3 linked regions of the Mus musculus genome follow. The protein of the gene in region 1 interacts with the protein of each later gene in a biochemical or structural test. Links are inferred from orthologs where the notes say so. Each region holds a gene or a part of one and is shown in the gene's direction. Other genes may lie near its edges.

Region 1 (3,745 bases):
AATGAAGGTCTGGAGCGAAGGAGCAGTCTGGCCAAGGACCTGTCACCGTCGCACCATCCAATAGCAACCGGTCTTGGTTCAGTTTCTACTTAAACTCTGGCTTGCCCCTCTTGAGTCTACGACAGACTATGTAATAGGCCACCACATGGCCTCTGTTTTCATGGCACAAAAAAAAAAAAATACGTTTTGCAAGATGTTTTTACTTTTACTCAAGTTTTCTCCACAGAGCTGCTTTTTACCTTTATCGTTGTTTAATTTACAAATGAGTAAGGTAGAATCCTTGGACAAATTAAACTAGAATCTGTGTTTCCTCTGATGACCCAGTCCAGGGCAATCATGCGTTCAAGTGCATGCACGTCCCAGGCTCTACTGTAGGTCGTGAACTCAGACAGCTAGAGGCAGGAGGCCAGCTCCTCAGCAGGGAGTCACAGGACTCGCTATCTCGGAGAAGGAAGAGGGTGGATACTGGGCTTAGTGAAGGGCGTAAGAGCATCACACAAAGCAGGGGTGGGATGAGGAGGAGGCAGCAATCTACACTCTGTAAAGAACTTCAATCCTAGCACGTAATGGACGATTCAGAAACAAGCGTTAAAGGTGCCTCTCTGAGAGAAGCGGGTGGACTATCAAGGAACTCAGTCTTTGGGACGCATTAGAAGGCTAAAAGAGGAGGAGAGCTCTTAAAAGATTCGAGGAGATGTCAATCCAGGTGAACAAATTGGAAACTTTAAAGAGGTTCCAGAGCCCCGGTGCCCATTAGCTGGGAGGGGCCAGGGAAAATGGGAGCCTTTCATGGAGGAGTAAGTTAAAGGTGATGGGAGGTGGGCAGACAAGTTCAGGAAGGACAGCCGTTGGGGCCGTTGGACACTGGGAGCTGGCGCTCCGCCCTCTTTCCTCTCTCCCCCATAGCCCCCCTCCCGCACCTCCCACCACCATCGACGTCCCCTGCGCGTGCGCGCGCGGACACCGGTTGCCAAACATTGCATCATCCCCGCCCCCCCATCCCCTCCCTCGCCGCGCTCTCCTCCGCGCGCGCGCATGACTCACTCACCTCCTCCGCGAAGCCGCGTGACCCAAAGCCACTTCCGGGTCCGAGACAACGTAGACTCTCAAGCCAGAGGGCGCGATGGGGGTGGGGCCGTGAGACTCCTGAGTGGCGGATGTAAGGGATGAGGCGGAGCCAGTGCCAGCGTGCCGCTTTCTGATTGGTAGGCTCCTGGACCCTGCCCCCCCCCCAGGAGGGGCCGGACAGCATAAAGGATACTCGCTCTCCGCTCTTGAGGTCAGTTATCTTGAGCCTAACACGTCGATTATATCATGTTGAAGATGAGCGGGTGGCAGCGACAGAGCCAGAATAACAGCCGGAACCTGAGGAGAGAGGCGAGTACTGGCTCCGTCTAACCCTTACCTTCCCATCCTGGCCAGCATAGCTATTTTATAAAGTTGGAGACAACTGTTCTGGAGGATGTAGCCCCACCCCTTCCACTGTAAGCTTGTAGACTGGGAAGGGTGAAGGCCGGGAATCCCTGATTCAGGAATGGTGCTTACAGGCCCTCTCTTGCATTGGGCGATTGCATTCCCGTTCCCTTGTCTCGAGTTGGTCCCCACTCTGCAGAGGGACTCCGGTTGCCTTCGGGAACTTGTCTCTGTAGTGCGAACTGCGGGCCAGCTTAGGCCTGGGCAGTTCGCAGGAAAGGCGGGGCAGCAGGACACACCCCCAAAGTCGGGGACTCTGGCTGTCTCAGCCTTTTCTTCACCAGCCTCATTCCCCCCAACTCTTTCAAGCTGAAGCGCCTCAGTCAAGGGGCCAACATGGCCACGTTAGTAGCTGACTCTCAAGTTCAAGAGAACGCGAAGACTGACAGATCTTTGCGAGTGGGGGTGCTGGTGGGAGGAGCATAGATGGGTTTTTCCCTTTTCCCCAGAGGTTTCTAGGTTTCCATACAAGAGAGCAGCCTGGATCTCTTTAACTATGGGAAATTATTTGGGATCTCTCCAGGGTCTTCTGCTTCTCCCAGGGCTGATTGATCTCTGCTTCTTTCCTCAGTCCCGTCTCCTAACTAAACTGTGTAACCATTGCGTCAGGCCAGCCCACTGTTTGTCTCTGCACCCTCAGGCCTGGGGCTCCTCTGCTGATGAAAGCCAGGTCCCACACACTGGAAGACCAAGGGAGTTTTCCCTAGAGGACAACCCTGCAGAGAAACACTCAGGGCAATATTGCATCTGCAGTCCCCAGAGACAGCCAGCTCCGCTCTGCCTTTAGGCTCAGTGGGCTTAATTCTCTATAAGGGAACTTGGGGGAGGGGCTTTTTCCCCATTCATTCCTAACAAATGCCTAATAAGCACCCACTATGTACCAAGTATCTGGGGACCCAGGGTATATTAGGAGCAAAAGATAAAACTGTTCTCAATAAAACTTACATTTCAGTATAAAGCAAAAGGGAAAAAAAAAACAAAAGCAGGGCAGAATAGTTCAGGGCGGTGACTAGAGGTTGTCATCAGAAGCCAAGCCTGTGAGCCAAGCCCCGGTGTTAGAGCTTTATAGAAGGGAGAGGCTGAGCAACAGAGTTAAGATAAGCATGCCATGCCGGTATCTTTAGGAACAGGACTAGAGTAAGCAGGAGAGGGTGATGAAAGGAAACTCAAGCAGCCGGTCTCATAGAGCCTTGCAAGCACCCTCATGATGCTAATCTTTAACAATCATGAAACAGGAAGCCATTGGGGGATCTGAGCAGAGGAATGATCATAGCACATGCATTTAATTCCAGCACTCAGAGAGGCAGATCTCTGAGCTCCAGGCCAGCCAGGGCTACATTATGAGACCCTGACTCAAAATAAATACAAAAACAAAGGGTTAGGTATGTAGCTCAATAGTACACTGCTTGCCTGGTATGTAGAGGACCCTAGGTCAACCCACAGCCGTGAAAATAAAGTAAAAGACAAGAATAGAAACAGGAGGTCTCAGCTGAACATAGTGGCACAGCCTTTAATCCCAGCACTTGAAAGGCAGGCAGATCTAAATTCAAAGCCAGAGAGTCTACAAAGCAAGTTCCAGGACAGCAAAAGCTACATAGTGAGACCCTGTCTAAAAGAGAAAGAAAGGAAAGGAAAGGAAGAAAGAAAGGAGAGATTTCAAAGAGGCTTCCAAAATAATCCAGGGAAAGAAATGTATGGTAAATTTATATCTGGAGCCAGGCAGTGGTGGTGCACGCCTTTAATCCCAGCATTTGGGAGACAGAGACAGGCGGATTTCTGAATTCGAGGCCAGCCTTGTCCACAGTGAGTTCCAGGACAGCCAAGGCTACACAGAGAAACCCTGTCAAGAAAAACCAAAAAAATAAATAAATGAAAAATAAAAAATTGCATCTGGAAATAATGTAGTAATGAGAAATACTTAGGTTTGGGGTACTTTTAAAGTTGTCAGTGCTTTAGGCTGAGCTGTGGTATCTGAGAAAGGGGCATCAAGGATACCAAAGTTTTTGGCTTTCAGCACCTAGAGTTGCCATTTAGTAAGAACTATACAGCCTTGGTAGGAAAGGCCTTTCATGTAAGCTGAACGCCTGCTCAACACTGCCAAGGAGCTGGAGATCCCAGAGCAGGTCTGCACTGAGGCTGCCAGTGGGGGGATGGAATCTGAGCAAGCACTGCTGAGTTTACTCTTCCTTCCCTCTAGTTCTGTCTCCCTTTGGCGGACTTGAGGTCTATCTGGGATTTAGAGAAAACTTAGTTGGCCAGGACTTTGCTATTA
Region 2 (3,745 bases), on another chromosome or scaffold:
CCCCCCTTCCCAAGTCCGATCTGGAAAATCACCCGCTGCAGGCGGGTTCCTTGTAAGCGCAGTTTCCAGGCTGCACGTATTCAGACCCCCATCTCCCCAGCACCGACTTGCTTTCTCCTCCCCCCCCCCCCCCGAGCTCACCTCACTTTGTAATTCTGAGCTCCCCCCCTGCCCCGACTCGCCCTCTGGTCTCAGCTCAAAACTAAACATACGACCCCTTCAGGCATACTTGTAGGGTGGTTTTGCACAATGTTTATCCGTCAGTGTCAACGGGGACTGTCGCCTTGATAGCTCTAAGTGGCTAAGGGTCGGGGAGTAGGTGCTGCCGTCCTTTAAAACACGAATTTATGAATGAACCCAGTACTGTAGTTAAATCAGGTTATTGTACACTTATTTACAATCCTTCACTTGCTGCTTCCAACCTCAGTCCTAAAGTTTCTCCAGGCAAGGAGCTGGAGAGAGGGGCTGAGAAGCTGACCCCCCCTTTTTCTTCTCTGCACTGATTTGGGATGGGGGGCTGATGTGGGCAAGCTTTCCTTTAGGAACAGAGGCTTCGAGCCTTTAAGGCTGCGTACTTGCTTCTCCTAATACCAGAGACTCAAAAAAAAAAAAAAAGTTCCAGATTGCTGGACAATGACCCGGGTCTCATCCCTTGACCCTGGGAACCGGGTCCACATTGAATCAGGTGCGAATGTTCGCTCGCCTTCTCTGCCTTTCCCGCCTCCCCTCCCCCGGCCGCGGCCCCGGTTCCCCCCCTGCGCTGCACCCTCAGAGTTGGCTGCAGCCGGCGAGCTGTTCCCGTCAATCCCTCCCTCCTTTACACAGGATGTCCATATTAGGACATCTGCGTCAGCAGGTTTCCACGGCCGGTCCCTGTTGTTCTGGGGGGGGGACCATCTCCGAAATCCTACACGCGGAAGGTCTAGGAGACCCCCTAAGATCCCAAATGTGAACACTCATAGGTGAAAGATGTATGCCAAGACGGGGGTTGAAAGCCTGGGGCGTAGAGTTGACGACAGAGCGCCCGCAGAGGGCCTTGGGGCGCGCTTCCCCCCCCTTCCAGTTCCGCCCAGTGACGTAGGAAGTCCATCCATTCACAGCGCTTCTATAAAGGCGCCAGCTGAGGCGCCTACTACTCCAACCGCGACTGCAGCGAGCAACTGAGAAGACTGGATAGAGCCGGCGGTTCCGCGAACGAGCAGTGACCGCGCTCCCACCCAGCTCTGCTCTGCAGCTCCCACCAGTGTCTACCCCTGGACCCCTTGCCGGGCTTTCCCCAAACTTCGACCATGATGTTCTCGGGTTTCAACGCCGACTACGAGGCGTCATCCTCCCGCTGCAGTAGCGCCTCCCCGGCCGGGGACAGCCTTTCCTACTACCATTCCCCAGCCGACTCCTTCTCCAGCATGGGCTCTCCTGTCAACACACAGGTGAGTTTGGCTTTGTGTAGCCGCCAGGTCCGCGCTGAGGGTCGCCGTGGAGGAGACACTGGGGTGTGACTCGCAGGGGCGGGGGGGTCTTCCTTTTTCGCTCTGGAGGGAGACTGGCGCGGTCAGAGCAGCCTTAGCCTGGGAACCCAGGACTTGTCTGAGCGCGTGCACACTTGTCATAGTAAGACTTAGTGACCCCTTCCCGCGCGGCAGGTTTATTCTGAGTGGCCTGCCTGCATTCTTCTCTCGGCCGACTTGTTTCTGAGATCAGCCGGGGCCAACAAGTCTCGAGCAAAGAGTCGCTAACTAGAGTTTGGGAGGCGGCAAACCGCGGCAATCCCCCCTCCCGGGGCAGCCTGGAGCAGGGAGGAGGGAGGAGGGAGGAGGGTGCTGCGGGCGGGTGTGTAAGGCAGTTTCATTGATAAAAAGCGAGTTCATTCTGGAGACTCCGGAGCAGCGCCTGCGTCAGCGCAGACGTCAGGGATATTTATAACAAACCCCCTTTCGAGCGAGTGATGCCGAAGGGATAACGGGAACGCAGCAGTAGGATGGAGGAGAAAGGCTGCGCTGCGGAATTCAAGGGAGGATATTGGGAGAGCTTTTATCTCCGATGAGGTGCATACAGGAAGACATAAGCAGTCTCTGACCGGAATGCTTCTCTCTCCCTGCTTCATGCGACACTAGGGCCACTTGCTCCACCTGTGTCTGGAACCTCCTCGCTCACCTCCGCTTTCCTCTTTTTGTTTTGTTTCAGGACTTTTGCGCAGATCTGTCCGTCTCTAGTGCCAACTTTATCCCCACGGTGACAGCCATCTCCACCAGCCCAGACCTGCAGTGGCTGGTGCAGCCCACTCTGGTCTCCTCCGTGGCCCCATCGCAGACCAGAGCGCCCCATCCTTACGGACTCCCCACCCAGTCTGCTGGGGCTTACGCCAGAGCGGGAATGGTGAAGACCGTGTCAGGAGGCAGAGCGCAGAGCATCGGCAGAAGGGGCAAAGTAGAGCAGGTGAGCAGCGATTCTGGACCTTTGTGGGCTGGGGGGGGGGGGGGGGGCGGAGACTGACGCACAGACCACACAACAGAGAAGGGACGCTACTGACTGCACTTCCTGACCAGGAGCTGTGGCTGCTAGCCCTTTCCCTCCCTTGTCAGATTTTGACAGTTGGACCCAAGACAAACTCTAGACAGTTTCCCTGACAGCTTCCTACTTCATTCTCTAGCCGGGGAGCTTCTTTGTTCCCCTGCTAAAGATCTCACTTTAAATGCAAATCACACTCTGCCTGCCAACTGCAGGTTAGAAAAACTGCTTCACCGAGAGGTGCGGGTGCTGTAGGAGCCAGTTTCACTGGGGTGACTGAATGGAGGTGACACTAGACAACCTTAACTGAATGTTGGTCCTTTTCTTCTATAGCTATCTCCTGAAGAGGAAGAGAAACGGAGAATCCGAAGGGAACGGAATAAGATGGCTGCAGCCAAGTGCCGGAATCGGAGGAGGGAGCTGACAGATACACTCCAAGCGGTAGGTTGAACCAGCTGCTGCTCCTGAAACTTTATTAAAGTTGGAGCTTGGGACTATGGGCGCAGGGTCCTTGAGCATGCCCGTGTCTTATGCTTTCTTATATCTCTCCCTATGCAGGAGACAGATCAACTTGAAGATGAGAAGTCTGCGTTGCAGACTGAGATTGCCAATCTGCTGAAAGAGAAGGAAAAACTGGAGTTTATTTTGGCAGCCCACCGACCTGCCTGCAAGATCCCCGATGACCTTGGCTTCCCAGAGGAGATGTCTGTGGCCTCCCTGGATTTGACTGGAGGTCTGCCTGAGGCTTCCACCCCAGAGTCTGAGGAGGCCTTCACCCTGCCCCTTCTCAACGACCCTGAGCCCAAGCCATCCTTGGAGCCAGTCAAGAGCATCAGCAACGTGGAGCTGAAGGCAGAACCCTTTGATGACTTCTTGTTTCCGGCATCATCTAGGCCCAGTGGCTCAGAGACCTCCCGCTCTGTGCCAGATGTGGACCTGTCCGGTTCCTTCTATGCAGCAGACTGGGAGCCTCTGCACAGCAATTCCTTGGGGATGGGGCCCATGGTCACAGAGCTGGAGCCCCTGTGTACTCCCGTGGTCACCTGTACTCCGGGCTGCACTACTTACACGTCTTCCTTTGTCTTCACCTACCCTGAAGCTGACTCCTTCCCAAGCTGTGCCGCTGCCCACCGAAAGGGCAGCAGCAGCAACGAGCCCTCCTCCGACTCCCTGAGCTCACCCACGCTGCTGGCCCTGTGAGCAGTCAGAGAAGGCAAGGCAGCCGGCATCCAGACGT
Region 3 (3,745 bases), on another chromosome or scaffold:
AGTACAAGAGGGCTCGGTGTTCCGGCTTTAAGCGGTGCGCGTTCAGTCCCGGCCACCGTATCCCTAGAGCCCTCTGTTCCTGCAGACAGACACTCGAAACCTGGAGCCGGTTTTTCTTTCCTGATATCCAGGCGGACCCCCACCCCCGCCCAAACCGGGAGCGTAGAGATCAAAGCGTCCTCTTTCCCAGACTAGCCGAGCCGCCTTTTTCCAGCCCTTTCTTATCCCTGCGCTAGGTGGCTCTGATCTCTCCAAATCTTTCCTCTTTCTACGCTCTTGCTTTCGTGGAGAATTCCCTGTTCATTTAAAAACGTTTTGTGGTTGTTATTAAAAATAAAAACAACAACCGAACTGACCGCGTCCGGTCACTAGCACTTCGGGTTCCTAGCGAGTTCGGGGGCCGTGGGCGTGGGAGCACGAGGCTGCCGAATGTCTACGTTAACCCACAGCTGCTAGCTGGGTCCCCGGCAGAGGAGGTCACAGTGGCGGGTAACGGTGTGGATTCATCGGAGTGTAACTTTGGGCACCTCCTTCACGCGGGAGATTGTCACCGCTATCCCTTCCCCGCCCCCTCCTTAGGCTAGGCCGCTGGTCAAAGAAGGCACATTTTCCTGAAGTTTTAGAAAAATGACCACACATTTTAGAGAAAGGTCGTGCCCGCTTCCCAGCCTCACCTAGTCTGGGCCACTGCCAGGATCCGCCTCCCAGCACCACCACCCCCCCTTCCCCAACCTAGCGGAGGGAGAGATGCCAGGGCGGTGGAGTCATGCCGCTGGCTTGGGCACCATTGGCTCATGCCTGGAACACGCAGCGGCGAATACGCACATCTGGCGGTGCGCCCGGGCGGCTCCCAGCCTGATAAGGAGATAGAGGGCGGGCGGGTGTGTGTGTCCCGGGCGTGCGAGGAACGCAGGACGCGCCGTGACCGCCCCTTCTCGCACTTGCATCACCAAGTCCGCGGTCTCCACCCACCTTTTGCCCCGCCCCCGTCCCTCCTTCACCCCTCCTCTGGCCAGTTCTCCCTGGAAGCTATTAATAGCATTACGTCAGCCTGGGATTGGTAACCTGGAGTTAAGCGGGCTCCCTGCCAACGCGAGGGCTTTAAAAGGGGTGATGCAACGCGCTCCCAGCCACAGTCTCACTCAGCGAGACGCCGCGCACGGTGCTTCCCCAGTGGAGCCAATCGGCTAACCCGCGCTCCGGCAGAGTCCTTGGCGCTCGCCCGCCGGCGGGACAGACCACCCGCCTCTGGCCGCTCTCTGGACCCTGGCCGCCCCGAGCGAAGACTGGAGGTGAGTTAGAGCCACACCGAGGAGCGCTGCCCTCCTCACCCTAAGTTCCCCTCTGGTGACCAGTCCCGGGACCCTTGCGCCACCGGAGACTGAAGCCCTAGTGTCCGTGCCACAGTCGCTCGGCTGAGCCGCTCTTTGCCGCTGCCGTTCTTAGCTGGTAAAAAGTTTCTGGTAAAGTGAAAGAACGAACTTTCTCTTTTGACTCGAGGCGTGAAAGATGCCCAGGGACGGAGGAGTTGCGCTCTCAGTTTGCAACTAGGAGAGGTCGTCTGGGTGGAAGGTGGGTGCTGGTGCGCGGAGGTGACTCACACTCTGGCGATCGGGGTCCCCTCTTCCATCCATCACTTCTTGTCCCGGACCCTGGACTCGGAGCGGGTCCCTCCTAAGTCCGCGTAGAGGCGCAGTGGCCGCGGCTTGTTGAAGCGCTGCTCCCGGTATCGAGCTAAATGAATGAAGACCGGACGCTCGAACGGAGGTCCGGCACAGCCGCTGGAGGTCGCCTTGCGCTCCCCGGAGCAGAGATCTGGGCAGCATGACCGCGTAGAGCGCTGTGAGCGAAAGTGTGTTAGGATAAGTTTGGAGGCGGCGAGCCCTGGTGTGGCGCTGTCCCGGGGCTGAAGGCCGAGAGGTCTCCGCACCAGCTAACTTCGGACCGCTAGGTTTGAGACGTCACTTCCAGCCTCACTCGCTGTTGTGACTTGCTGTGCTCTGGCTGACTTTTAACCGGCCCTTGAGTTTCTTTATGTATTGGAAGGGAAGCGAAGGAATCGGATCAAGCGGGTGGAGGGACCAGGGTGTGGAACCACTTGTACTTGGGGGGGGGGGCGTGCGGGGGGGGGGTTGTTTGTATTCTCGTGACAGAGTCTCACTCTGTAATCCAGACTGCCCATAAAAACTCCGGCCAATCCTCCTGCCTCAGCCTCCCAAGTGCTGAAATTACAGGCCCACACGCCCAGCACCTTTCTGTGCGCTGTGTGCTTCAGATAGCCAGCTTTTGACAGATTTGTTTCTAGACTAAAATAATTAAAGTAAAAGGAGCCAGGGAGGGATGTTCAGTGTGGAGGCTCCCCCACCCAGCGTTCCTAGCCGGTCTCTGAGACAGGACAGGAAAGGGGGCCTCTCTTACATCTCTGTCTCCTAGCTCTCTCCCGTTGGATTGATTCCCTGCTTCGACCCCATGCTCATTTTCAACTCCCATTTCTGTATTTTCCTCTTAGCCATTTTATTTGATTTAATCATGTAGCTCACGAGCTTTCTTATAAATTAAAGGAGTTGCCAAGCCCGATTATTTAAAAGGTTTATTCTCCCCTCCTGTTGTTCCACTCTTTTGAGACAAAGTCTCCCTATGTAACTGGGGCTTGCTTTAAACTTATGGCAGTCTTCTAGCCTCGGTCCCCAAGTGCTGAGATTACAGGCATGTGTCACCAAGAAGGGAGCACATGTTTTGCATGTTGCATTTGTTATGGGATAATGTTACCACATACAGGCTCTTGCTTGGAGCGGGTGGGGCTGGGGTGGGGGTTGCTGTTGCTTCTATCAAGAGGTTTCAGAGGCTGCTGACCAGGTTCCCAGAGTGAAGAAGGCATTGCCCAGCACCTGTGGCTATCTAAATCCCTTCTTGGCACACCAGTTTCTTCTGGTCTTCATTCTGTCAGAGCCTCCTCTATGAGGGGTGCCAGGTATGGGTCTCTTCAGCCCTCAGTTGCCCCCCTGGCAGGCAGCTCTCTCTGTGGTTGCTTATTTGGTTGATCTATTGAACTAACTGATGGGTCCTCCTGGTAGTGCAGAATGAGTAGAGGGTGGGTGTGGGCAGCTTGGCTGGACTGGACCACACCCATCTCTGTGAGTTTAGTTAGGCAAGTGCTTTCCTTCTGGGACCTCAGTTTATTCAATGACAAAATGGGGGTTTGAGCTAGACAATTCTAATGCTGGGAGTCCCGTTGAGTTCCTTTAGCCAAAGTCTGTGATTCTTTAAGGAACTGGCTACAGGGGTTCCTTGTCAAGGGAGGAGGGACATAGCCAGGACCCCCCAGAAACTTCAAGAGAGAAATGGTTTCCTATGTGAGAACTCACAATCTTGGCCAATCCAACCCTAATGGAGGAATGCTGATGTCAGCCAATTGGGTGTAATTCACCTGGTGTCTTAGGAACTCGGGGGTCAACCACCAGTTGTGACAGACTGGCTTGAAATTCTTGAGGGTTCCAGTCAATTCCTGATGACTAGAACTAAACTGAACTGAACTAGATCAGGGTCCCTGAGGGGCAGGGAGAATGTGAATGTATGGATCCTAATTTCCTTATGTTTTAAAGTTTGTGCATGTGATGTGTTGTTCCCCACAGCCCTGGGAGGGAACTGGTCAGTTCAGATAGGAACTGAAGGTCAGAAAGCCTCTGGCTCGGGAGTGGGTGCCCAACTAGTGAGAACCAGAGGCAGACCTGGAAATGCTGTCTCT

The links.
Region 2: the proteins of Ddit3 (region 1) and Fos form a complex in vitro, tested with the Homo sapiens proteins (2 studies listed by BioGRID and IntAct, with this or other methods). The link is inferred for Mus musculus from reciprocal best matches to the Homo sapiens genes DDIT3 and FOS.
Region 3: the proteins of Ddit3 (region 1) and Atf3 form a complex in vitro, tested with the Homo sapiens proteins (2 studies listed by BioGRID and IntAct, with this or other methods). The link is inferred for Mus musculus from reciprocal best matches to the Homo sapiens genes DDIT3 and ATF3.

Annotation. Positions count from the first base shown.
Region 1 is NC_000076.6:127,289,515-127,293,259, forward strand, and holds the start of Ddit3 (DNA damage-inducible transcript 3 protein), read left to right. Parts: upstream 1-1,278; 5' UTR 1,279-1,377; exon of another isoform or gene 1,378-1,484; intron 1,485-3,745. UniProt on the Homo sapiens protein: Multifunctional transcription factor in endoplasmic reticulum (ER) stress response. Plays an essential role in the response to a wide variety of cell stresses and induces cell cycle arrest and apoptosis in response to ER stress.
Region 2 is NC_000078.6:85,472,751-85,476,495, forward strand, and holds the start of Fos (proto-oncogene c-Fos), read left to right. Parts: upstream 1-1,139; 5' UTR 1,140-1,289; coding exon 1,290-1,430; intron 1,431-2,184; coding exon 2,185-2,436; intron 2,437-2,841; coding exon 2,842-2,949; intron 2,950-3,066; coding exon 3,067-3,708; 3' UTR 3,709-3,745. UniProt on the Homo sapiens protein: Nuclear phosphoprotein which forms a tight but non-covalently linked complex with the JUN/AP-1 transcription factor. In the heterodimer, FOS and JUN/AP-1 basic regions each seems to interact with symmetrical DNA half sites.
Region 3 is NC_000067.6:191,180,640-191,184,384, reverse strand, and holds the start of Atf3 (cyclic AMP-dependent transcription factor ATF-3), read left to right. Parts: upstream 1-1,051; 5' UTR 1,052-1,292; intron 1,293-3,745.